2 linked regions of the Canis lupus familiaris genome follow. The protein of the gene in region 1 binds, or shares a complex with, the protein of each later gene. Links are inferred from orthologs where the notes say so. Each region holds a gene or a part of one and is shown in the gene's direction. Other genes may lie near its edges. The genes, in order: SPAG5 and KNSTRN.

Region 1 (12,809 bases):
AGAAGTACAAGTGGAGAAAAAAGACACTGGCCCTCAATCCCAGAGACCCCATTCTACATATTAATTAATTTTAGGGGAGAAAATGTGTGTATAAAATAGACATACAGAACCTGTGTATGTGTATGCATATGTTTTACAAAGGTGTACACACTATTGATTACCTCAGGCAGGTAGAATGGAGGGGGGAGGCTTTGCCTTTAAAACACGCTTGCATTGCATTGTTTCACTTGCTATAACAGGCATCGATTATTTTTATAATTTGAAAACCACCAAATTTGGGATGCCTGGGTGATTCAGGGATTGAGCGAATGCCTTTGGGTCAGGGCATGATCCTGGAGCTCCGGGATTGAGTCCCATATCGGGCTCCCTGCATGGAGCCTGCTTCTGCCTCTACTACCTCTACCTCTGCCTGTGTCTCTGCCTCTCTCTGAGTCTCTCATGAATAAATAAAATCTTAAAAAAAAAAAACCCAAGTTTTAAAAATTATGCAAAACAATACTAATATTCTGTTTGTTACCTATTTATAATAGTATTTTCCCACTCATCTACTCTTCCATATCTGTCCTGATTTGCTGCTGGAAGCACCATATCGTTTTGGCTACTCACCTAGCTCTGACATACCACCTGCGACAAAGAATAAGCATTCCAATCGACACATTTCTATAATACAGGTTTTTATCGGGACACTTGGGTGGCTCAGCAGTTGAGCATCTGCCTTCGGCTCGGGGCATGATCCTGGGGTTCCAGGATCGAGTCCCACGGTGGGCTCCCTGCATGGAACCTGCTTCTCCCTCTGCCTGTGTCTCTGCCTCTCTCTCTCTCTGTGTCTCTCATGAATAAATAAATAAAATCTTTTAAAAAAATACAGGTTTTTACCAGTAGCACTTAGTTTTGTTTTGGTTCTTCTGCCACTTTCCACTCTTATTTTATTTGTGAATCTTTTTGATCGACCAGAAGTACATAGACCTTGGGATTCCCTCTGCGAGTCTTGGGAAACCCCAGGCTCAAGTTTGTGTTTTTACCTTGTCTTTCTTCCAGTTTTCCATTCAAGCAACTGTTATCTGTAGGCTGGGACTGTCATGTTTCTAGAGCAGTGCTGTCCAATAGAAGTATAATATAAGCTCTGTAAGTCATTTAAATTTGCCAGTAGCCGCATTAAAAACGTAAAAAGAAACAAGTGAAATTAATGTATTTTACTTAACCCAATACACCTAAAATATAATTTCAACATGTAATCAATATTAAAAAATATTCTATATTCTTTTTTACATACAAAGTCTTCGAAACCCAGTTTGTATTTTACACCTATAAACATCTCAGTTTGGACTAGCCACATTTGAAGTGCTCAAGAATCACATGTGGCTAGTGGCTATGCTATCAGACCACAGGGTTCTACGGAAGCTCATGCCTACAGTTCATGACAGATTATAGTTCTTCCTCCTTGTATGATTTCCTTTTCCAACTTCATTAAGACTTCAGAGTGTAAGTAAGGTACAGTGAGTGTCGCAAGGAACACACTTTATCACAGACTCTAACTCTGAGTACTTACCGTTAGGCTGTTTCCAAAAATCAATTCCACCTTCCATGGCTAGATTTTCCACGGAGGGGATTCAAGCCGACAGAAGAATATAGTCCTATAGTTGGTGGCGTGGTGGGTTGAAATCTCGACTCTGCCATTTACTACCGGCGGGGCATTGGGCCAATTTTATTAGGGCTTAGGTTCTGGTCTGCAAAAGGGTGGTATTTATACCTACTTCATAGGTCCTTAGGAGGGTTCAAGGAGTTACTATAGAGAAAGCATTTGGAAGTGCCAGGTACATAATAAATGTTCAATACTTGCTAGCTGTCGTTCCCGTAAACTTGTAGCAGGCCCTGAGGTAAGTCCCAGGGAAACACGAGACAGTCCGAAGAGCCTACATTCCAGCTCAAGGCCACCTCAGGCCACCCCGACACAGGGCCTACGCGCGGACCCACCTGGCCTCGTTCGTTACAGGACTTTCCATCACTTCTCCCTTCCGCGCACCCCAAGGCTCTTTCCGGTCTGGCTAAGGCGCCAGGTAACTAAGGCAGACCCGAGGAGAGGCCTCCTCAGGCCAGGGAACCGAGACAACTTTTCTGACAGGGTGTGAGGGTGGCCCACTGCAAGCGGGAGGTAGCTGACTCTCCAGCTGTCTGGGTACCCGCGCCGAGGTGAGGCCGCAAAGCCGGCCTGGCCCGGGGTGTGCTTCCAGCCCCTCAGCCGGCTCCTGCGCCGCGAGTGCTGTTGGTGGGTGTCCGTCCAGCCAGCGGGCGCGCGCCGACCGCCGGGCGGCGGGGGCGTGGCCTGCCCTAGCCCCGCCCCCGCCCGCCGGGCTCGAGCCCGGAGCGGACCGCCAGGCCGACGCGCCCAGGCCCCCGCAGCCAATCGTGAGGCGCGGCGCAGGTTCAAATAAAGACGGCGGGTGAACGTGGCGTCTGCTCTTGGGTGTGAGAGGGGATCGATCGGCGTTCTGTAGTGGAAATGTGGCGGGTGAAAGCGCTGAGCGTTAGCGGGTCGCCTTCGCCCCAACCGGTGAGCGGGAGAGCCTCAGGGACGGAGACAACTGGGCCGGGGTTTCGGGGCGGGGACGCCGGCAACGCCGAGGGTCCCGGAAAGCTGGGCCCAGCCCGGGGAAGGGGCTGTGTATGGAGTCTGTTACTGGTTCTGCCGCTTCGGCGCGACTGGGGTGGAAGTCTGCCCTTCTTCCTATTGCCCCAGGACCCACTTCTTAGGGGAGAAGGGCCGGGCTGGCCCAGCGCAGGCATTCTCACACTCTCTGCTTTCTCAGGGAAAACCAGCTATGAGAACTCCTCTCCGAGAACTTGTCCTGCAGCCCGGTGCCTTCACCACCTCTGGAAAAGGGCCCCCGGTATGCCACTCGCCAACCTCTTCACTGTACAAGCTGGGACTGCAGGTGAGATTCGCCTGGCCGGCTTCTCGATTGGGCTCTTTGCCGAGGTCGAGCGCTCAGAGGAACAGAGGGCCAGGGCTGGAACGTAATTAACCATAATGAAGTCTTCTACCTTAGTGACATCCATTTACAGCTATTCAGGCCAACAGAGAGGTGCCCTAGGGTGGTTAAAGGAAATCCACCGAGAACCTAGACCTCTATTTAGCTGTTAGTTTCTATCACCTCCTCCCTCATTAAACCTTTACCGAACTACTGAGAAATACCATCATTTTGCTTAGTGGTTTTCCCCTAACGTGGGCTCACACGTAGACATCAGTCAGCTGCCATAGTGAGGCAATATTCACATCCATTCCAAGAGTTAATCAGAACTCTTCCTGGGATCAAGTTACCCCACTGAAAGTCAAGGTACTTGGACCATCTTTTAAACTAGCCCATTGTAGAATTGCCCTGTTGAGTTGTGCTTTTGTCAAAAGTCTTGAGAGAAGTAGCCCTGTAGAAACTGCTTTTCAGTTGTTGTAAAAACTTGCCAGAGAAGGAAACTAACTGACCCTTCTAAAAGTTCCTTGAAGAAAAAAAAATTAGATTTTATTTATTTATTTGAGAGAGAGACTGAGAGAGCACAAGCAGGCGGAGGGGCAGAGGAAGAGGAAGAAGCAGAGGCCAGGGGCTGAGCAGGGAGCCCAACATGGGGCTTGATCCCAGAACCTTGGGATCATGACTTGAGCCAAAGGCAGATACTTAACTGACTGAGCCACCCAGATGCCCTGAAGAAATTTCTTTAAGAGCTTAACTGCCTGGAAAATTGTCTTCATAAAGAAATTGCTGTCCTTTTCTCTTTCTGATACAGAGAGCTACCTGTAGTTTGCCATATTTTTCTTCTTGCTCTGGCTTCTAGAAAGCTCAGGGTCAAATTTGATCATCAGATAAAGCTACGATTACTCCTTGAAATAGGAAGATTTGCTTCCTTTTTCTTTTTTGACTGTGATTTTGTATTTCATTAACCGGATCTATTTGTTCTTTTTCATGCAGTCTGAATTATTTTTAATATTTTTATTTTTAGTTATATTCATTTTTTCTTTAGTAGGCTCCACAGCCAATGTAGGGCTTGAAGTCATGACCCCAAGTTCAAGAGTCGCATGCTCCACTGACTAAGCCAGCCCACAGCCCCTTTGCAGTCTGAATTATTTCTTGGAGGAGATAGGATATAAATAAAATAGATTATAGGAGGAAAAAAGAATGTATAAAAACATGATATCCTGAATAACAGATGTATGAAGATGGTGGCCTTTCTTGAAAACAATCTAACACCTACTGGTCAGTAGAACTTTCTGGGAATCACCTGGGTGGGTTAGTTGGATAAGCATCTAACTCTTAGTTTTGGCTCAGGTCATCATCTCAGGGTCCTGTGATTGAGCCCAAGTGGGCTCCTTCCTTAGTGTGAAGTCTGCTTCCCCTCTCCCTCTCTTTTTGCCCCTCACTCTGCTCTCTCTCTCTCACATAAATAAGTAAATCTTGGAAGAAAAAGAGAGATCTTTATGGGATGATGGAAATGTTTGATAACATGGGCTGTCCAATATGGTGGCTATGAGTTATGTGGCTGTTGAGCACTTGAAAGGTAGTTAATGGGACTGAGGAAGTAAATTTTATTTAATTTTAATTTACCATATTAAACCGTACAGCTTAGGTAGAAAAAAAAAAAGTACTTAGTGGGAACTTATCTTCATACACTTGATCTTAGCCAAAAGGCCAAGAAGTGATAGGGAACTGATCTTCATAGAACTTATAAAATTGAACCACAGCCTTTTAATCACAGTAGCAGAATAGAATGGAATTTAGGTCTCCCTTTTGCTACCTTCTGATATAGTCAGCTTCACAGACAAAAAGAATTTTTTCCCCAACAAAATACTATTACTTTTGCTTTTTTAGTTTTTTTTTTTTTAAAGATTTTATTTATTTATTCATGAGAGACAGAGAGAGAGAGAGGCAGAGACACAGGCAGAGGGAGAAGCAGGCTCCATGCAGGGAGTCTGACATGGGACTCGATCCTGGGTCTCCAGGACCACACCCTAGGCCGAAGGCAGTGCTAAACCACTGAGCCACCTGGGCTGCCCTTGCTTTTTAAATTTTGATTAATTATATAATAGATGATCATTGTTTGAAACATTCAAACAATATATAAGAAAGAAGGTATGTTTTTGCCATCTTAGATAACTATCATATTTGAAAATCCTTTCTTGCCTTTCTTTTATTTATTTATTTAATTTACTTTTTGAGAGAGAGAGAGAGAGAGAGAGAGAGAGAGAGAGAAGGAGAGATCGTGCCCATGCATACACATGTGTGAGCGGCAAAGGGAGAGGGAGAGAGAAAATCCTGAGCAGGCTCCATGCCCAACTCAGAGCCCCATGCAGGACTCAATCTCACCACCTTGAGATCACAACCCAAGGGGAAACCAAGAGTTAGTTGCTTAACCAGCTGAGCCACCCAGGTACCCCCTTTCTTACATTTCTTTTGTGAATCTGTGTGTATGTACATACACACTCATCTATATATTATTGTAATATATTTTTATAAAGGCAATTTTTTTCTTTTTTCTCTGCCTCTTCCCTTTTTTTTTTTTTTGTTTCTTGTTTTTTGTTTAGCTCCATGTTTCCTATCTCTCTTACCCCTCTTCTGGAATTAATTCTTTCCACACATGCCTTGCCTTTCCCAAGTAACCAGTCCATTTTAACATCCTGATTTATATCCTTCCATATTTTCCTCTGTGTTCTTTTAATAATATGCAAACATACATTATTATTTTATTGATAAGATCACAACATATGAGTCAGTGCTCATTATTTGACGTTGCCCTTTTTCCTAGGGTCCATGGATCTCTGTGGGCCCCAGCAAAACATTACACTAACTCTGGTCCCCAATTTCTCATCTGTCCCAGAAGAGAGAAAATCTTGGAGCAACTCTAGAGTTTGGCAGAGCTTACCTAGGGATCTCTCCTATCCATTCCTCTAATGGAATTAGGACTGAAGATGAGTGGGGTCACATTTAAGCTACCATCACCTCCAGGATATGGATAGATTATCTCAGCCTTGTTTGTATTGTAGGCTGATTCACTTGCAAGGACATAAGATGGGTTCCCAGCTTTAGTTAAAGTTTAGTTAGGTTTATTTATTTATTTATTTAATTTTATTTTAAAGATTTTATTTATTTATTCATGAGAGACACAGAGAGGCAGGCTCCATGCAGGGAGCCCGACGTGGAACTCAATCCTGGGTCTCCAGGATCAGGCTCTGGGCTGAAGGTGGCGCTAAACTGCTGAGCCACCCAGGCTGCCCTAGTTAGGTTTAGTTTAGGGTTTCTTTAGTGAGAGCAGGGCATAGCCAAGTCTTTACTTAAGCAGAGGTAATGAAAAATCTTCCTTTGGGACACCTGGGTGGCTCAGAGGTTGAGCATCTGCCTTCGGCTCAGGGCATGATCCCAGGATCTGGGATCAAGTCCTGCACCAGGCTCCTTGCATGAAGCCTGCTTCTCCCTTTGCCTATATCTCTGCCTCTCTCTCTCTGTGTGTCTCTCATGAATAAATAAAATCTTGAAAAAAAAGGAAAGAGGAAAATCTTCCCTTGAGTTTAGACAGTATTCTGTACTCATAATTGTAGGTTGGGAACCTGAATTGACTGCCTTGGCCAACTACTTTTGTTTTCTTTGGCAGGAAGATAGCAACACTGCATCTCCACTGGATTTTGTCAATGCCAAGAGGACAGACTCCTCTTCAGAACAGTTCAGCCATCCATCAAAGTGCCTGGAAGCTTGTCATCGTGAATCAGATGAACAGTCTCTAGATTTGAATCCCCAAACCAACTCTACTCCCAGAATATCTGAGGAAGCAGTAGATCCACTGGACAACAGTGTGTTTAAAACCATGTTCCTTGTACCCTCTCCAGTGGGGCAGCAGCAAGATGTCACACTTGAGGCTCATTTAGATACCATGGCAGAGACAAATAACACCTCTCCAGATGAGCCTTTGAACCCAGGAGATTTGCTAAGAGAGGGGGTGGCGGCCTGCCTAGAAGACAGCCTTAAAGAAGTTGTTCCTACTATGCCTGAGAAACCTACATTTCAGCATCCTCCATCCCACATCCTGGAGTATCTACCAAATACCTGTTCTGAGCAACAACCACACTGCTCCAAAGAATGCTTTAGGGGCAGTAGGACTGAGGCTGTGGTTGAGGACTTAGTCCCTTCTGAAAGTAATACCTCCTTGCCTTCCTCCATGTTCTGGCTCTCCCCTTCAACTGACTTAGCAACAGATTTCCTTGTCAGTCATGTGGACCCAGGGGAGGAAATTGTAGAGCACAGATCTGTAGAGGAAAAAGAACTTAGCTTTCCCATACTCCCGGAGGAGGTTGAACTAGGAGATCAAGCACTTGTCTCAAATATGGAAGCTACTCCATTCACATGCCTGACCCCAAATCCAAGAGAAATGGAATCCCAGACAGCTGCAGGCCCAACAGTAGAAGATACTGGTAGGGTTCTCATCTCTGATACAGGGCCTTGGATGTCTCCACTGGCCTGGCTGGAAAAGGATATAAATACTTCAGTCATGCTGGAAAATCTCCGCCAGAGCTTATCTCTTCCCTCTATGCTTCGGGATACTGCGATTAGCACTACCCCTTTCCCTACCTGCTCTGTAGGGACTTGGTTTACTCCCCCAGTAGCACAGGAAAAGAGTACAAACACCTCCCAGACAGGCCCAGCAGGTGTCAAGGATGGTACTTCTGAGACAGAGCACCTCCTATGGGGGTAAGTGTCCCTATATCTTTGTGCCTCCTGGGCCTCATTAGCCTGGACCTGCTGTGCCCCTCTCTTCCCCTTTCTTCTTTCTTCTCTTCTCATATTGTTCTCTTGCCACAGCAACCGTCCTCTAGATCTGACTGCCTTATCTCGACACGACCTGGAAGATAACCTGCTGAACTCTCTTGTCATTCTGGAGGTTCTCTCTCGCCAGCTGCGGGACTGGAAGAGCCAGCTGACTGTCCCTCACTCAGAAGTTCAGGACAGTAGCACACAGACTGGCACATCTCCCGGTGGGGTATGAATGTTCTTCTTCCCAGTGGGCCCTCTTCCTTAGAATATGTGTAAAAGGTGATGATCTGGATAATCCCTTAAAGCTGTGGGTACTCATTTATACCCGTGGGATACATCAAGATTTTCCAAGGGAATATAAGCCAGGAAAGTTTTATTTATTCATGAGAGACACACAGAGAGAGGCAGAGACATAGGTAGAGGGAGACTAGGGTCCTCAAGGGGAACCTGATGTGGGACTTGATTCCAGGACTCCAGGATCATGCCCTAAGCCGAAGGCAGATGCTCAACTGCTGAGCCACCCAGGTGTCCCAAGCCAGGAAAGTTTTATTTTTTTTTATTTTATTTTTTTAAAATATTTTATTTATTTATGATAGACCTAGATAGAGAGAGAGGCAGAGACACAGGCAGAGGGAGAGACAGGCTCCATGCCGGGAGCCCGATGTGGGACTTGATCCCGGGGCTCTAGGATCCCACCCTGGGCCAAAGACAGGCACTAAACTCCTGAGCCACCCAGGGATCCCCAGGAAAGTTTTAAAGGAGTCAGTTTCGGGACACCTGGGTGGCTCAGCGGTTGAGCCATGCAGGCGTCCTCCACATGTACTCTTGACTAATTTCTTTTCTTTCCTACTTCCCCATTCTCAATTGCCCCTGTCCACTTTACTAACAAACAGTGTATTTACTACCTATCTTGAATCTTACATTGTCAAGGAATAGTAATCAAAGGACAATTGAAAATATTTGTGTCCATGCTAAGAAAGCAAATGACTATGATGATTATGTAACATATCATTTTTGCATGCTTTCAATGAAATTGAAGGAAGACTTTAGTTATATTTGTGGATCATTAAACATTTTGACAGAAGTTCAATATGAGATTTTTGGCATGTATCTCCAAAGGAGCGCCTAGAATTGGGTGATGTGCCCTTTTCTTTTCCTCCATTCTTACTTATTCCCATTATTTATTTATTTATTTATTTATTTTTTAAATTTTTTTATTTATTTATGATAGTCACAGAGAGAGAGAGAGAGAGAGAGAGAGAGAGACAGGCAGAGGGAGAAGCAGGCTCCATGCACTGGGAGCCCGATGTGGGACTCGATCCCGGGTCTCCGGGATCATGCCCTGGGCCAAAGGCAGGCGCCAAACCGCTGCGCCACCCAGGGATCCCCTATTCCCATTATTTATATGAGGATTCTCAGTGCTTAAATCTCATAAGAAAGGAAAATCAGCATGGAATTGTTGCTGAGCCATGTCTTAGTATAGGCATTACAGTACTCCACAGAAACATGAACTAATAAGAAGCACCATCCATTTTTTTAATAGATGATTTGCAATAAAATTTTACTGACTAAAATGGATTTCTGTTGTTGCAGATATATTGATTAATAATAATAGATTTTATATTATAGATATATAGAGATACTAAAATTTGTTACATTAGGATAAAATTCTGAGAAGAGTAAAAATACAGGTTCAAGGAGAAAAAGGAATGATAAAAAATTTCTTACTTTTGAAAGATGTATTTATTTGAGAGAGAGAACATGAGCACATGGAGGGGCAGAGGGAGAGGGAAAAGGAAAGAAATGAACTCAGACACCCCACTGAGGGTGGACCCTCACGCAGGGCTTGATCTCACAACCCTGAAATCATGACCTGAGCCAAAGTCAAGTGACTGAGCCATCCAGGGGCCCCAAAATGTCTGACTTTTAGGAAGAGCTTGTTTGTGCATTTTTTAAAAGGATTTATTTATTTGAGAGAGAGAGTGCACACAAGCAGGGGCAGAGGGAAAGGGAGAGAGAATCCTCAAGTGGACTTCCCGCTAAGTGTGGAGCCTGATGCAGGTCTTGATCCCAGGACTCTAAGATCATGACCTGAGCTGAAATAAAGAATTGGACACTTAACCAACTGAGCCACCCAGGAGCCCCTGTTTATACGTTTTTTGATGGTATCAAATAGGTATTAAATCATTATGGTAGGGATCCCTGGGTGGCTCAGCGGTTTGGCGCCTGCCTTTGGCCCGGAGCGTGATCCTTGAGTCCCAGGATCAAGTCCCACGTCAGGCTCCCTGCATGGAGACTGCTTCTCCCTCTGCCTGTGTCTCTGCCTCTTTCTCTCTCTCTATCTCTCATAAATAAATAAATAAAATATTAAAAAAAAATTATGGTATATGTACTATTTATACTGTTGGATATACTTAAGAGTGATTTAACAGTTTTATTTCAAACTATCAAGATTTATTTATTAAAATTTATTTATTTGTTTGAGAGAGAGTGAACGAGCGAGTGAGGGCGCTGAGTGGGGAGCCTGATGCTGGGCTCAATTCCAGGGCCCTGGAATCATGACCCGAGCTGAAGGCAGACATTTAACCAACTAAGCCATTCAGGTGCCCCTCAAACTATCAATATTTATAGTATGGTTTGAAATTACAGCCTTTGTAATAATTTAAACCTCAAATACTCAGTCTTGGGACGCCTGCGTGGCTCAGTGGTTGAGCGTCTGCCTTTAGCTCAAGGTGTGATAGCAGAGTCCCAAGATCTAGTCCTACATTGGCTCCCTCCATGGAGCCTGCTTCTCCCTCTGCCTATGTCTCTGCCTCTCTGTGTCTCTCATGAATAAATAAATAAAACCTTTAAAAAAGAAAACAAAACAGTACTCAGTCTTTTGGGGGTTGCATAGGTGGCTCAGTTGATTAAGCATTTGTCTTTGAGTCAGGTTGTGATTTTGGGTCCTGGGATCAAGCCCCATATCAGGCTTCCTCCTCAGTGGGGAGTCTGCTTCGCCCTCTCCCTCTGCCCCTCTCCCCACTCATGTTAGAGCTCTCTCTCTTGCTCTTTCTCGCAAATAAATTAAAATCTTAAAAAATACATTTAGTCTTTTTTTTAAGAAGATTTTATTTATTTATGAGAGACACAGAGAGAGGCAGAGACGCAGCAGAGGGAGAAGCAGGCTCCACGAGGGGACCCCGATATGAGACTTGATCCCAGGACTCAGGATCGAGTCCCACACCAGGCTCCCTGCAAGGAGCCTGCTTCTCCCTCTGCCTGTGTCTCTGCCTCTCTCTGTGTCTCTCATGAATAAATAACTAAAATCTTTAAAAAGAAAAAAAAAAGATAGATGTCAACCACTGAGCCACCCAGGCACCTCAATATTCAGTCTTTCAAAGTTATTCTGGAGATATGAAAGGAAAACAGTTTATTTTATTTTATTTTTATTTTTATTTTTATTTTTATTTTTATTTTTTTTTTAATTTTTTTTATTTATGATAGTCACACAGAGAGAGAGAGAGAGAGAGAGAGAGGCAGAGACACAGGCAGAGGGAGAAGCAGGCTCCATGCACCGGGAGCCCGACGTGGGATTCGATCCTGGGTCTTCAGGATCGTGCCCTGGGCAAAAGGCAGGCGCCAAACCGCTGCGCCACCCAGGGATCCCAGGAAAACAGTTTAAAGACCACTGTTCTTGGGGCACCTGAGTGGCTTGGAGGTTGAGTGTCTACCTTAGGCTCAGATCATGATCCTGGGGTCCTGGGATAGAGTCCCACTTCGGGTTCCCCATCGGGAGCCTTCTTCTCCCTCTTCCTGCATCTCTGCCTCTCTCTCTGTGTGTGTCTCTTGTGAATAAATAAATAAAATTTTTAGGAAAAAAAAAAAAGACCACTATTCTAGAGGACTCTGGTTGTGATAGCATAAGCTGAGGAAGGAAGGGAATGGTATCCAGGGAGGAATTGAGAGCCTCAGTCCTGTGGCCTTTGAGGTAATGGGTGGCTGCTGCTAAGAGGAGATGGTCTCCAAATGCCCAAAGACCTTGAGTTGAAAATATTCTCAAAATAATGACTATCTTTTGCCAAAATCCTGACCTTGTTCCCCATCCCTGAGTTGACCTCGTACCCTCTTTCCCTGAAGCTCGCCAAATCCCTTTGTCTTTTTTTTTTTTTTTTTTAATTTTTATTTATTTATGATAGTCACACAGAGAGAGAGAGAGAGGCAGAGACATAGGCAGAGGGAGAAGCAGGCTCCATGCACCGGGAGCCCGACGTGGGATTCGATCCCGGGTCTCCAGGATCGCGCCCTGGGCCAAAGGCAGGCGCTAAACCACTGCGCCACCCAGGGATCCCCATCGCCAAATCCCTTTGGATGCCACTGAGGCAGAGCCAAATAGAGGCAATGATAGCACCGGCTGCCATTCTCTATCGCAGTGCCCTGTCCTTGCCGCGTGGCTGCTTCCTTCACACTAATCTCATCACTTGCCTGGCTGCCCAGCTCTGAGCAGCATGCGTCCCCTGTCTGGGGCTCATGGCATCCTCCATGCCTTACTACATGATGCAGTAGGGAATCATGACTGCTCTGTGCGGGAGGGGAACAGTGAACTCTACAAGCTCTGTCCCCTTAAATCCAGACTGCTGTAACATCGTGACTCAGCACTGCTGCTCCCACAGTAGGTTTTGTCTTAGATGATGGCTGCCTTTCAGCAGTAATGATGGCTCCTGCTTCTGTCTCAGAACTTGAGTCTTTGTATGGCTCTGCTGCCTTGAGATCATACTTTTCCACTCAATGTAGCATACTAATTTTTATCTGCACTAAGATAACGAATAGATAGAGAATGGGAAAATGAAAACGACAAAGGAGTATATGGGGAGGTTACTGTGATCAAGAGAATTGCCAATTAAAACAATGAGATGCTATTTTCGTCTACCAAAATGGCAAAAATAAAATAGATAATGCTAGTAAGTATTGTCCTGTTGTTAGTAAGGTATATAAATTGGCTTAACCTTTTTTGCAAGTAATTTAAGTAAGACCCTTAAAGCA
Region 2 (12,809 bases), on another chromosome or scaffold:
AGAGAGAGGGGCCAAGCTTAGCCACAGTTTTCCACAACCTTGGGAATAGAAATAGGATTAAAAGCAATATCTGATTGCTTTGCCATCTTGCTTTGTGTGTTACTGGGCTTGTGGTTGAAAGTAATCTCCTAGGCTCTGCGGTTATGGAGCTGCCTAATCTGGAGAGCAGAGCACAAAATAAGCTACAAACATCAGAACCTGTGTGGGAGTTTTTGAAGGAGCTATTTAAGACCCCTTCCCAGGGGACTCTTCCCAGGTGGTTGGTGCAGTAGCTGGATTGATCTGTGAAGTGAACAGGCTTTTCTCCAAAGGCTTATAGTTTTGTTTTTTAATCTTACCTGGCCTAAGAACATCTGGCACGGGAGCTGGGGCCAGGCCCCTTGCCCTCCCTTTGCCTTGGAAGGCATTGCCCTTCCTTGGGTGGAGAGTGATTGGCTCTCCCCAGCCAAGTTAGAAGTTTTTATCTCAGCTTTCTCTCTCTGTCCCAGCTTTATGATCATATATAATCTCAGTAGTTGAATATTTTAAGGCTGTCGCCCAGGTTTTTTTTTTTTTGACTATATAACATACATATGTAAAAAGAATTGAAAGTTAGAAAGTGTAGACCTTGACCAACCATCCAGTTCTCCTTAGCATTTCTTATTTCAAGAAGACAGTCTTTGTTAAATCCTAAGTTTTTCCTATAATGAAGTCCTTAGGCTCTAGCAAGTACAGATTATTAGAACTGATTCCAGTCAATGAAGAGGGGTAATGTTTTTTTAAGATTTTATTTATTTATTCATGAGAGAGAGAGAGAGAGAGAGAGAGAGAGAGAGAGAGAGAGAGAGAGGCAGAGACATAGGCAGAGGGAGAAGCAGGCTCCCTGTGGGGAGCCCAATGTGGGACTCCATCCCGGGACCTCAGGATCATGACCTGAGCCAAAGGCAGGCACACAACCACTGAGCCACCCAGGTGTCCCTTGAAGAAAGGTAATTTTAATCAACTTATTGTTAACACCTTCTCCTTGGGGTAGCCATGTATGACTTACTAATACTTGAAAGAGGAGGTAACTGTGTTCCCCCCAACATTATTTTTTACTTCAGACAGAGACCTGGGGTGCCTGGCTGGCTCACTTGGTAAAGCATGTGACTCCTAAACACCAGGTTGTGAGTTCAAGCCCTATGTTGGATGTGAGGCCTACTTTAAAAAATAAAATAAATAGATTAAAAAAAAAAAATGCTTACTTCAGACAGAGACCTCAAAAAGAACCCTTCCAATATTGCTTTGTGGGTAAGAGAACAGAAAAATAGGGTTTAAGTCCCCAGTGAGTGTACCTATAAATGAAACAATTTGTTAGCCTGAGAAATCATATTTATTCCAAACTGCTGTGTAGCTAAAGTCATCAGAATAAAATCTGTGTCAAATACAGATACAAAATTTCCTGATCCCTGTGATCCAGTCAATGCTTTGTACCGCATTTCTTCAATCTGATTTAATCATTCCAGCTCTTAGTTTAGGCCAAGCTGAAGGATGAACAAAGTGAACGTTTAAACTGGGAAACCCATGGGAGTGGTTTGGGGTGGCCAATGGAGGAGCGGTACATGACTCCAGAACAAGTTCCTTGAATTTGCCATGGAATATACATGGTAGAAAGACAGTGTGGTAGAGGGCTGGCATAAGGACTAGGGAAGAAGAGTGTCCTGGCAGGGCCATTTCTCAGCTTATCTGGCAGTTACCCTAGCAAGATCAAAACAGAATGCCAAATAGGGAAGCTCTGGACTTAATAACAAACAAATTAAAAGGGCTGGCAGTAAAGGCAATCAGCGTGGAAAAGGGAAAGAAAAAAAAAGGCAAGGAAAGAAGACTAGAGGAGATGATTTAGAAATGGTCTGCGAAGTAACCCGGGGAGCTGTGAAGCATTCCATTTACTCAACAAGTGGGTGCTGAACCGCTGTGACTCTGCCAGATACTCTGCGAGGCACTGGGGACACAAAGACATCTCTTAGGTATTTAGGGAGACTGTCCAGTCAAAATAACTTAACAGTTAAAAGAGGACCTGTGGGCAGCCCTGGTGGCTCAGCGGTTTAGTGCTGCCTTCAGCCTGGGGTGTGATCCTAGAGACCCGGATTGAGTCCCACGTCGGGCTCCCTGCATGGAGCCTGCTTCTCCCTCTGCATGTGTCTCTGCCTCTCTCTCTCTGTCATGAATGAATGAATGAATGAATGAATAAATAAAATCTTTAAAAAAAAAAAAAAACAGGAGAACCTTGCAGCAGCTTGAGTGCAGCCTTGGAAAGGGTGTGGAGTGCCTGGTGCCAGAATGCGAGGACCTTCGCCTGGTGGGTGGGTTCCGGTGGGTTCCAGTGGGTTCCGCTGCTGCTGAAGAAGGACTCCAGCTGGGTGCTGCCCTGCTGATGGCCATGCTGCCTCCCATTTAGCTCTCTGCTTGTACCAACATTCACTTTCCCACCTATACCCACCTGGCCATTCAGTTTTCTGAATCCTCAAGTTCTCAGCTATCCTCAAATATATTGCACCATCATTTTTGAAGAATTTTGGTTTCCATCTCCAATTAGGCTAGAAGCCGTGTTCTTCTGAATGAGTCTTCACAAACTGAGATGGGCCAGCGTGAAAGTACAGGGTTCTGACAACCCGGAACGGAACGGTTAGTTGCAGCAGTTGGGTCACAATGCTTGAGATTTCACCCACTTGTTTTCCTTTGCAGACACACAAACTCGAGCCACTTCTAAGAGCCTCTTACCTGTTAAATCCAAAGAAGTGGATGCTTCCAGATTTCATTCAGGAGGTTCAGAAAATGATGTTACAAAAATCGTCAAGCCAAGACGAGAGAATGGGTGAGAGATTGTTGGTATCCGAGGAGAACATCTTACTAGAAATTGCTCATTGTCAGGTTTAGAAAATAGGAGTCTTGAGAGCACAGGGCAGCCCGAGTCAGTTGTGTGTCAGAACCCTCTGTGTTGACCAGTTCTGAAGAGGCCTAGTGAGGGTCAAGATAACAGGGACTTTCTTCTCTCACCTCTTGCTCTGAGTGTGCAAATGGCAGTATTAAGGCCAAACACCAGCCCTACTTGGTGGTCAGGGTGGATGGGGCTGCCCGTTAGCTTAGATTGCCAGTCTGAGCGTAGTCCTGCCCAAGCTAGTGTGTGTCCCTCTACTCAGTTCCCTTGTGAGCCAGGTTGACATGAGATAGCCACACCATTGTGAGGAGCAGCAGGTCTGTCGGGTGGTTGAGGTGGGTCAGGAGTTGGAGTCCATTCCCTATTAAGCCTTTTTCAACAGTCCTAGGCTGAGACAAAAGGGCATAGGCTCTCAGAGCTTCTCAGGCTGTTTGCATTGTATGTAATCCCTGTTTTTTTCCTCAGAAGACCAGGCTCTTTGTTCTGCCTTGTTCATAACACACGTACAACAATGCTACAAGTGTCTGATTTCTTTGTTGTTGTTTTGTTTTTTAAAGATTTGATTAAAAAAAAAAAAGATTTGATTTATTCATGAAAGAGAGAGGGAGGCGGAGACATGGGCAGAGGGAGATGCAGGCTCCCTGCAGGGAGCCCGATGCATGACTCCGGGATCATGCCCTGAGCCATAGGCCTATGCTCAACCACTGAGCCACCCAGGCGCCCCTCTTTGTTGTTTTTTTTAAACATCATATTAGCTTCAGATGTACAACATAATGATTAGGTATTTGTATCTATGGCAAAATGATCACTGCAGTAAGACTAGTGAACATCCTGATTTCTTTGTTACTGCTTCTCTAGGCAGGTCAAAGCTGCAGACCCTGCCATCAGGAGGAACATCAGAAAGAGGTGAGCATCAAGGTGAATGAGAGTTGGCCACCATTTTAAGGTGGTGGATCTCAGTCCTGGTTGTGCCTCACACTCACTCGTGGGTTTGTTTCATGTGTTACAGTCTGGGTGCCACCCCAAGAAATCTGAGTGGAATTTTCAGGGGTGAGGCACAGCCAGGTTCGAGAACCACTGTCAGGGCAAGGATCAGTGATGCTCCCATCTTGAGAACCAGACAAGAGCTTTTTGGGCTCCATGCCAGGACCACTGTTAATTGGAAACCAAACCCAGCTTGGGGCCATCAATAGAATGTGAGCCTTCAGGTTAGGAGGCACTGTGTGGTCAGTGACTCTGAGATGGTGGTGGTTGTGGTGGTGGCAGAAATCCTGGGGAAGGATCCATCTCTGTTTGAGGCTAGCTTGGATGTTCTGTAGTTCTGAGGACAGAAATAATGCAAGCTGGAAAGTTTATAGAAATAGGTTCTAATCTCAAATCTATCATTTGGGCATGTGTTAAAAGATTGATTGATTTTAGAGAGCACGGGGGAGGAGCAGAGGGAGAAAGAATCTCAAGCAGACTCCTCGCTGAGCACGGAGCCCCAGTGGGGCTCAATCTCAGGACCCTGAGCTGAAATCAAGAGTCAGGCACTTTACCAACTGAGCCACCCAGGTACCCTCAGCATGCAACTTTTAATCTCCAGGTTCAAAGTTCAAGACCCACTTTGGGTGTAGAGATGACTTAAAAAATAAAATCTTAAAAAAAAAAAAAAGTCCTGAAGATAAAGTACTATTCAAGAAAGACTCTGAGGGCACTGAAAAGAAGGTTTAATATTGATGATGATAATGACTATTATTTATTAAGTATTTACTATGATGTGTCAATAGCTGTACTAAGAATTATACAGGTATTCTCTTATTTTTCACAATAGTGATATTATGCAATGTATTATCCTAATTCTAGAAATGAGGCAACAAAGCCTCAAAGAGGTTATGTGACTTACTGAGGGTCCTGTACCACTATATAATGAAGCCAAGATTTGAACCCCTGTGTGTATGACCCCACAAGTCATTTTCTTTTTTTTTTTTTTTTTTTAAAGATTGTATTTATTTATTCATAGACACAGAGAGAGAAAGGCAGAGACACAGACACAGCAGGTTCCATGCAGGGAGCCCGATGTGGGACTTGATCCCGGGTCACCAGGATCACACCCCAGGCTGCAGGCAGCGCCAAACCGCTGCGCCACCAGGGCTGCCCCCACAAGTCATTTTCTTAACACCTCCACCTCTTCTTATAAGCACACTTACCATTACAGCTACAAACCGCTGAGTAAGCAGAAATCAGAGGAAGAGCTCAAGGATAAGAATCAGCTCTTAGAGGCCGTCAACAAGCAGCTACACCAGAAGTTGACTGAAACTCAGGTAAGAGACCTGCCGGACCTCTGTCACCCCTGCACTAGGTAATGCGTGGAATCCCGAGGGATGGCCCCGTGGGTGGAAGAAGACTGTATTGCCTGGTGCCCGGAGGGAGGAAGAGAAGATGCCAGGCTTGGGCCATGGCAGTACAAGGAGCAAGGGCGGGAAAGACCACCCGTGCAGAGCGGGACCAGCCTGATTGTCTGCATGGCACCTCACTAGGGAGAACTGAAAGACCTGACTCAAAAGGTGGAGCTGCTGGAGAAGTTTCAGGATAACTGTTTGGCAATTTTGGAGAGCAAGGGCCTCAACCCAGGTAAGAGATGGGACACAGTTGCCTTTGGAGGAGGAGTCAGTGCACTTGCCATTTCCTGGGGTGATTGTGGACGGTGTGTCAGGATTCCAGCATCCCATTAGCTGACCGGTTTAGTGCAAGGGTTGCTTAGCACAGCCCTGAAGATTTGGAGGATCTTTTAGTTCTTTTTTTAAGATTTAATTTTACTATTTTTAAAAGATTTTATTTATCTGAGAGAGCAAAAGAGCACAAGCAGGGAGTGGGGAGAGGGAGAAGCAGACTCACCAGCTGAGCAGGGAGCCTGCCTGATGTGGAGCCCATGGGATCATGACCTCAGCCGAAGGCAGACACTTAACTGACTGAGCCGCCCAGGTGCCCCTAAGATTGATTGATTGATTTTTAAGATTTTATTTATTCATTCATAGACACAGAGAGGGAGGGACAGAGACACAGACAGAGGGAGAAGCAGGCTCCATGCAGGGAGCCCATGTGGGACTCGATCCTGGGTCTCCAGGATCACACCCCGGGCTGCAGGCGGCACCAAACCGCTGCGCCACCAGGGCTGCCCCCTAAGATTTATTTTTAAGTAATCTCTGCACCCAACCTGGGGCTCAAACTCACAACCTCAAGATCAAGAGTCACAAGCTCTACTGACTGAGCCAGCCAGGGGCCCCTGGAGGAGCTTTTCTTTGTTCCCTTGTGATGTTGACTTTAAGCAACAGAATTTCAGTTATTGTGGAGGGAGGATTATCTCCTATCTGAACATTTTATGCCATTCATTTGGTGCCACCAAGTATCATCTTGCAAATAGACCAGAAATCTTTTATTTCTTTCAAGGCAGAGAGCAAATACTAACTTTCCCAGATGGGAAAAGACAGATATGATATTGTTTCAAGGGCTCCTAAACCTGGTTCGTCAGCAGACTCATAATGGTTAAATGTGATTTCTATCCTGACCCTGTCCCTAGAGAGCAGAGTTTGTAGCAAAGGGAGGAGTAGAAGAAGTAATTGCCCAAAGACTGTACAAGAGCTTCAGAATGAGGTGAGGAGCCTGAAAATACCCAGGAAGGAACCCAGGCCTCTTTGAATTCAGAAACACTGACTTCGAATGCTGCTGATTAACCTGTGATTTTAGGATATATTCTTTATAGTCACCATATACGTTTTTGTATGATTTTAATTTACAATGCATATGCACTAATTTTACCAAAAATAACTTTTTTAAGCCCAAAAGCTTTAAAAAGTTTTTTGTCGGGCTTCTGGGTTGTTCATTTGGTTAAGCGTCAGACTCTTGATTTGGCTCAGCTCATGATCTCAGGTTGGTGGGATTGAACCGTGTCTCAGGCTCCTGGGGTCAAGCCCCGTGTTAGGCTCCATGTTTAGCAGGGAGTCTGCTTAAGGTTCTCCCTCTCCTTCTCCCTCTGCCCCTCACCTCACTCCACATGTACACGTGCTCTCTCTCCTCTCTAAAATTAAATAAATGTTTAAAAAACTTTAAAAAATAAAAATAATTGTTTGTATTATAAACAAACCCAAAAAGTCCAACCTATACATTTCCTTTGGACACATTTCCTGCTAAGCTAAAGAGAAAGCAGAATGAACTTTTGACCGTATCCAAAGCTAGAGAGGAGGGAGGTAAAATAAAGCTCTGAGGGAAGGTGTAGGTGCCCCTGCCAAGGTGAAAACTTAGGAGAAAGTCAGGGACCAGACTCTTTGAGAAGTTTCCCTCATAAATATTCCTGTTCTTGTCTTTGGAGAGGTTTTTAGTTTTTGTCTTAGGTGCAGTTCCCTAAGCAAGGCTGACTTTGTCATTTGCATCAGTTTTAGGCAGTGAGACCTCAGCATCACAGCAAGAAGCCACCACGGATCATACAGACTCTATGGTGAGGGTGTGGGTGTGAGTGGGGGAGAGCTAAGTGACCATGGGGCTCTGCCCAACCAAGGTCTCTGCCATGTGCTCAGCAAAGTCCAGGAAGCAGCCTTTGTTTTCCATGATAGTGGGAGAAAGCAGTGGATGTGTACTCAAAATAGCATACTTTACTTGGAAGGCGACTTTGTGCTTACAGATATGAGTGGGTCTCAGTTAAAAATATGCTACGTTAAGACACATGATAAGATGGACCTGTATAGAGAACTTTCTGGCTTTTCAGTTCTCTACCAAATTTCTCCCCTTGCCCATTTACTGAGAACCGCACGATGGAAAGATCCAGCCTGAATTAAATTCAGCTTCTCTTTGGTTCGCTCCCCAAAGTGGGAAGGTAGTTGTTTGATATTGTCTTTGAGCTTTTATGGCCTCTTCCCCAGAAAGGTCAGTTGTCATCTTAGGATCCTAGACTAACTATGGAAGCCCTCCTCTGACCCCACAGGCTAGCAGTCACCTCTTCGATGGCTGCTTTGCCCACATTGCCTATGTAACTAGAGCACATGCATGTGGGGTGGTCTGTCCATCCTGTGGACTCCAGGGGTGCCTAGTAGCCCAGCACGTGTGGGATGCTCAGTGAACGCCTGACTGAACAGAAGGGTTGTTGGTGATCATCTAATTAACATTTGTTTCTTATGAAGAAGTTAGGTTAGTTTATATGAGGAAAGTTTTCACATATCTGTAAAGATTTGTTACTGTGTTGTACTTTACTCTCAGTTGCTGTTAGAAACATTGCAAGATGAGCTGAAGCTTTTTAATGAAACAGCCAAAAAGCAGATGGAGGAGTTACAGGTGAGAGGCAGACGTCATCCTGAGGCAGGATAACCATTTCCTGCCACAGGGGGCGGGTCTCTGGAGGACTTTTTCTTAACCAATTTATTTCTTTTTGATAAACTACTTTGTAATAATAGATTTATGGGAGCATTACAAAGATAATGGAGTTCAGTGCCCTTAATATTAACATCATGCACTATTGTAGTCTATTTGTCAAAATTAAAAAACCAACATGGATGCATTACTATTAACTAAATTCCCAGACTTCAGTTGATTACTGATTTTCTGTTCCAAAGACTCACCTCTACAGAGCTTGAGGCAATATGCAAAACGCTAAATTGCTCAAAGTAGGAGGTGGGCGTGTGTGTGTGTGTGTGTGTGTGTGTGTGTGTGTAAGCTATGCTTTGGAAACCTGATATCTCAAGGAAACCTATAATAGGAAACTGGATTCTTGAGTCTGGACTGCTTTCGATTGCTTGGAAGAATCATGGGACAGGGCACGGAATCCTAGAGAATTTCATGGCTCCTGTTTAGATATAGGAGTTTGTAGTAGAGACCATTCCTAAACCCAGCACAGATGAACAGATCTAAGATAGAAAATCTCACGTCTGTTGGCATTCAAGTAGTCTTTCTCAAGGGAAGAGAAGCATAATGTCCTGAAATGGTGTTGCCTTTCATGTGAATCAAAGTTTTGTGGGTGTTCTTTTTGAATGTCTTTCCATGCAGGCCTTAAAAGTAAAGTTGAAGATTAAAGAAGAAGAGAGGGCCCGGTTCCTAGAACAGCAGACATTATGTAACAGTCAAGTAAATGATTTTACAGCAGCCCTAGAGGAAATGGAGCAGCTATTAGAAATGTGATAAAAAGCAAGTGACCAGATGGCTCCCCCAGGGGAAGCCACTTAGGACATCTGCTTCTTGGCCATGACCTTCTAGGACTCACCATCCCCAGAATGGAAACATTTTCTGCGTAGGATTAAGGACAGTTTAGGCAAGCGTGCGCCACCCTTAGACTGGTGGGCTCTCCTGAACCTCACACATACATTATCGAGGCTGGCAAGAGGGGCCCCCAAAAGCTTGGATCAGCCTTCTAGGCCACAAAGCAGCATGCCATTAGAATCAGGAGACTAAACCAACGCCAGCCAGAGGATCCCAAAGGTCATGTTCAGATGTGTAAGAAGAAAACCTTAATTGTACAGTGGAGCACAGAGGCTCTACAGGAGACATCACTGAGAAGCCATGCTGTCCCCTTGAACTTGGAACACATTCTGTCTCATCCTGGTTGGGCTCTATACCTCATTGTAAATTAATGAACAAGAAGTTACTTGAAATGGCTTAATAAATGGGGGTGAAGGTATAGATAGCAATAACACCTACCTGAAATAATACACCTTGGAGCTTTTAATCTAAATCACTTTTTTTTAAGTGCTACTTGTAAAATAAATATTTCTGTAACTATCCTGACTATAACATTAAGAAATGAAAATAAGCCTTTTAACTGAAAAATATCCATTGAACGCTCTTGACCTGATCTAGTTGAGAAGTTCAAAACCTCAATCTAACCCAGAATTTTTTCTTCTACTTAAGTTCTCTGTCACCAGCCCTGCTGTCTTCCAGGAGCAGTAGCTGGTCTTCTGAGGTTGTCCCCTATTGACAGCAGTGGGTGCCAGACTCCACCCCCCAGGCGTGTGTCACTAGCTGCCTGTGTCCTCCCTATATTCTTGAGCCTGGTTTTCTGCTGCAATGTGCACAGCCAATCCTGGCCCATGTCCTAGGTCAGCTGAAGTCCATGGCAGGCTTCCCCTCAGCTTTACCAAAGGCATGGCTCTGTTTCATTTCTTCGTTCATCCAGGCAGACTTTGGCTATCTTCCCTTTTTTTTTTTTTAAGGTTTTTATTTATTCATGAGAGAGAGAGAGAGAGAGGCAGAGACCTAGGCAGAGAGAGAAGCAAGCTCCATGCAGGGAGCCCAATCTGGGACTTGATCCCGAGACTCAAGGATCACGCCCTGGGCCAAAAGCAGGTGCTAAACTGCTGAGCCACCCAGGCTTCCCGCCCCCCAGCCCCCCTTAAGCATTGAGACTACCACCCAATCGGGCCAAGTAACACCCCCACCCTGACTTTCAGGGCTAAATTTCTTTGCCTTCACACACAAACCTTCGCATAGTTGGTTATAGCCCAGAAATTATCGGAGAAACCCAGTTACATAATTCTCACCAGTGACAATGGCTGAATATTTTCTTCTACTCATTTTCAGCATGTTTATAGCTTAAAAGGTTATTTACTCAAATGAATCTGTAATTGGCATTTCTGGCCAAAAAAAGAAAAAGTTCTACTTCCTTCTTGGAAGGAGAGGGGAAGAACTCAGCTGTGGGATCTTGACCTCCTTGCCAGGCTTCCCTCGTTAACAACTGGGAATGTAACTCTCAATGCCTGTTACCCATTTTTCCCAGTGCGGAAACCCTGCTCTCTAGTGGCCTGGGCTCCCAAGGGGCCTTGCCTCACGGTTCTTTGTACCACCAGCTGATATTTGTGCACTCTTGCCTTCTCCCTCCTCCGACCTCTCCAGCTCCATCTGCCTTTTGTACATGTGTTCTGGGCACTTAATCTGATACCGAGGCCAGATGAACTCATGTTCTATAAACTCAACAAATGGTGATCTGTACCCTCCACTTTGCCAGATGCTGTAGGAAACTTTAATGTAGCATGGCACTCTTTTTTTTTTTTTTTTTTTTTTAAGATTTTATATATTCATGAGAGACACAGGCAGAGGGAGAAGCAGGCTCCATGCACCGGGAGCCTGATGTGGGACTCGATCCTGGGTCTCCAGGATCGCGCCCTAGGCCAAAGGCAGGCGCCAAACCGCTGCGCCACCCAGGGATCCCTAGCATGGCATTCTTAATCTCAAAGATGCTTGTAGTCTATTTGGCAAAACAATGTGCAGGTGATATAAGTTCAATAACACAGCAACACTTGATTAACAGTGGGTTGTGCGTGTGACATAGTTGTGTCCTCTAGTAATTAACTCTGGACTAGTTTGGTTGGGGAAGGTTTGAAAAGGGGCGAGACTGGAGCTTGAAGGAAGAGCAATTTGAAGAAGCTGGCTAGATAGTTGAGAACTTTCCACGTTGGTGAGCACATGGAGGTTTGGGGAGAGAGAGGAACAAGCTCAGGCCGAGGCAGCTTCCTTTCCCTTCCCCTCTGCAGCTCCTCTGCCTGACTGTTCCTGAATTACAGCCTGTGTGGTAAACTGATAATCTCGTAAGTAAACTGTTTCTTGAGGCACCTTTGTGGCTCAGTGGTTGAGCATCTGCCTCCAGCTCAGAGAGTGATCCCAGGGTCCTGGGATTGAGTCCCACATCGGGCTCCCTGCAGGGAGCCTACTTCTCCCTCTATGTCTCTGCTTCTGTGGGTCTCTCATGAATAATTAAAATCTCTTTTAAAAAATAAAATGTTTCTCTGAGCCTGTGAGCTGCTCTAGCAAATTAAACCCAAGGAGGGGGTATCATTGGAACCTCCAGGGAGAAAATAAAATCATTTAATGCTTCAGAATAAAAAGCTGAGGGGATATACAGATGAGTCTTGGGAAAGTAAGGGGAACTGGGGCTTGTTTGGAGGTTCAGGGTGAGAGGGGACTATACCTGACACTTGACGGGGCACTTGCGCTATGCCAATACATGGTGTATGTGTCATATAGAGGCATATACACATAACTCCTTGCTGCACTTTTCAGGTAATCCTCATTAACCACCACAAGGTTAGCACTATTATCTCTTTTTTACAGCCAGGGAAAATAGGCTCAGAAGTTAAGTGGATTTACCCAAGGTCAAACAACAAACAAATATTGGAGAAAGATTTGAGCCAGGAATAGCAGGGGTGGAAGGTACTTGGTGTTAGAAGTCTTGAAGATCCTTGAAGTCCAGGCTAAGAAATGTGGGTTTTTATCATCTAGGCCAGAGCTTAACGAACTTTCTCAGTTCACGATGCAGCCCCAGTTAGTGTCTCCATAACATAACCCCCAAAGAAGTAACTAATGGTTCTATTTTAAGTGGTTAGATCCAACAATTAGTAGGTATTTGAAAAAATAATACACATAAATCTAAAGGAAAAAACTTTCGTTTTTAAAGAACTACGATTATTCACTAATGGAATTGTCTACATAAAATGAACAAACTTTTTAGAATCTCTACAAGTAAGAAGGAGGGGTGCCTGGGTGGCTCAGTAGGTTAAACTGCCACCTCTTGATTTCAGCTCAGGTCATGATCTCAGGGTTGTGAGGCCAAGCCCTATTTTGGGCTCAGGGCTCAGCACAGTCTGCTTGTCTCTCCTTCCCCATCTGTGCTCTATGCCCCCACCCCTGCCACCATCCCCACTAAAAAATAAAAGGAGTTTTATTAGAGCCCAAGTTAAGACAGCTACCTGGGAAAATATGCTCTTGAAGAAAGTGTTCTGGAGAATGAACTGCTTATTTGTTAAAGATTTTTTATTCATTTGAGAGAGCCCATGCAAGCAACAGCAGGAGAGCAAGGGCAGGTGGGAGGGAGGAGGGTCAGAGAGAGAGAAGGGAAGGAGAGGAGGAGATTCTTCCCTGAGCAGGGAGCCAACATGGGGCTCAATCCTGAGGGGATCGT

Evidence for each region.
Region 2: SPAG5 (region 1) and KNSTRN share a complex: the UniProt entries of both Homo sapiens proteins name them as parts of the astrin (SPAG5)-kinastrin (SKAP) complex. The link is inferred for Canis lupus familiaris from reciprocal best matches to the Homo sapiens genes SPAG5 and KNSTRN.

The regions. Positions count from the first base shown.
Region 1 is NC_049230.1:42,766,080-42,778,888, reverse strand, and holds the start of SPAG5 (sperm-associated antigen 5), read left to right. Parts: upstream 1-2,383; 5' UTR 2,384-2,500; coding exon 2,501-2,551; intron 2,552-2,807; coding exon 2,808-2,933; intron 2,934-6,633; coding exon 6,634-7,724; intron 7,725-7,835; coding exon 7,836-8,013; intron 8,014-12,809. UniProt on the Homo sapiens protein: Essential component of the mitotic spindle required for normal chromosome segregation and progression into anaphase. Required for chromosome alignment, normal timing of sister chromatid segregation, and maintenance of spindle pole architecture.
Region 2 is NC_049251.1:7,848,922-7,861,730, forward strand, and holds the end of KNSTRN (small kinetochore-associated protein), read left to right. Parts: intron 1-2,703; coding exon 2,704-2,833; intron 2,834-3,754; coding exon 3,755-3,802; intron 3,803-5,093; coding exon 5,094-5,199; intron 5,200-5,415; coding exon 5,416-5,509; intron 5,510-7,308; coding exon 7,309-7,370; intron 7,371-8,125; coding exon 8,126-8,200; intron 8,201-8,908; coding exon 8,909-9,040; 3' UTR 9,041-9,646; downstream 9,647-12,809. UniProt on the Homo sapiens protein: Essential component of the mitotic spindle required for faithful chromosome segregation and progression into anaphase.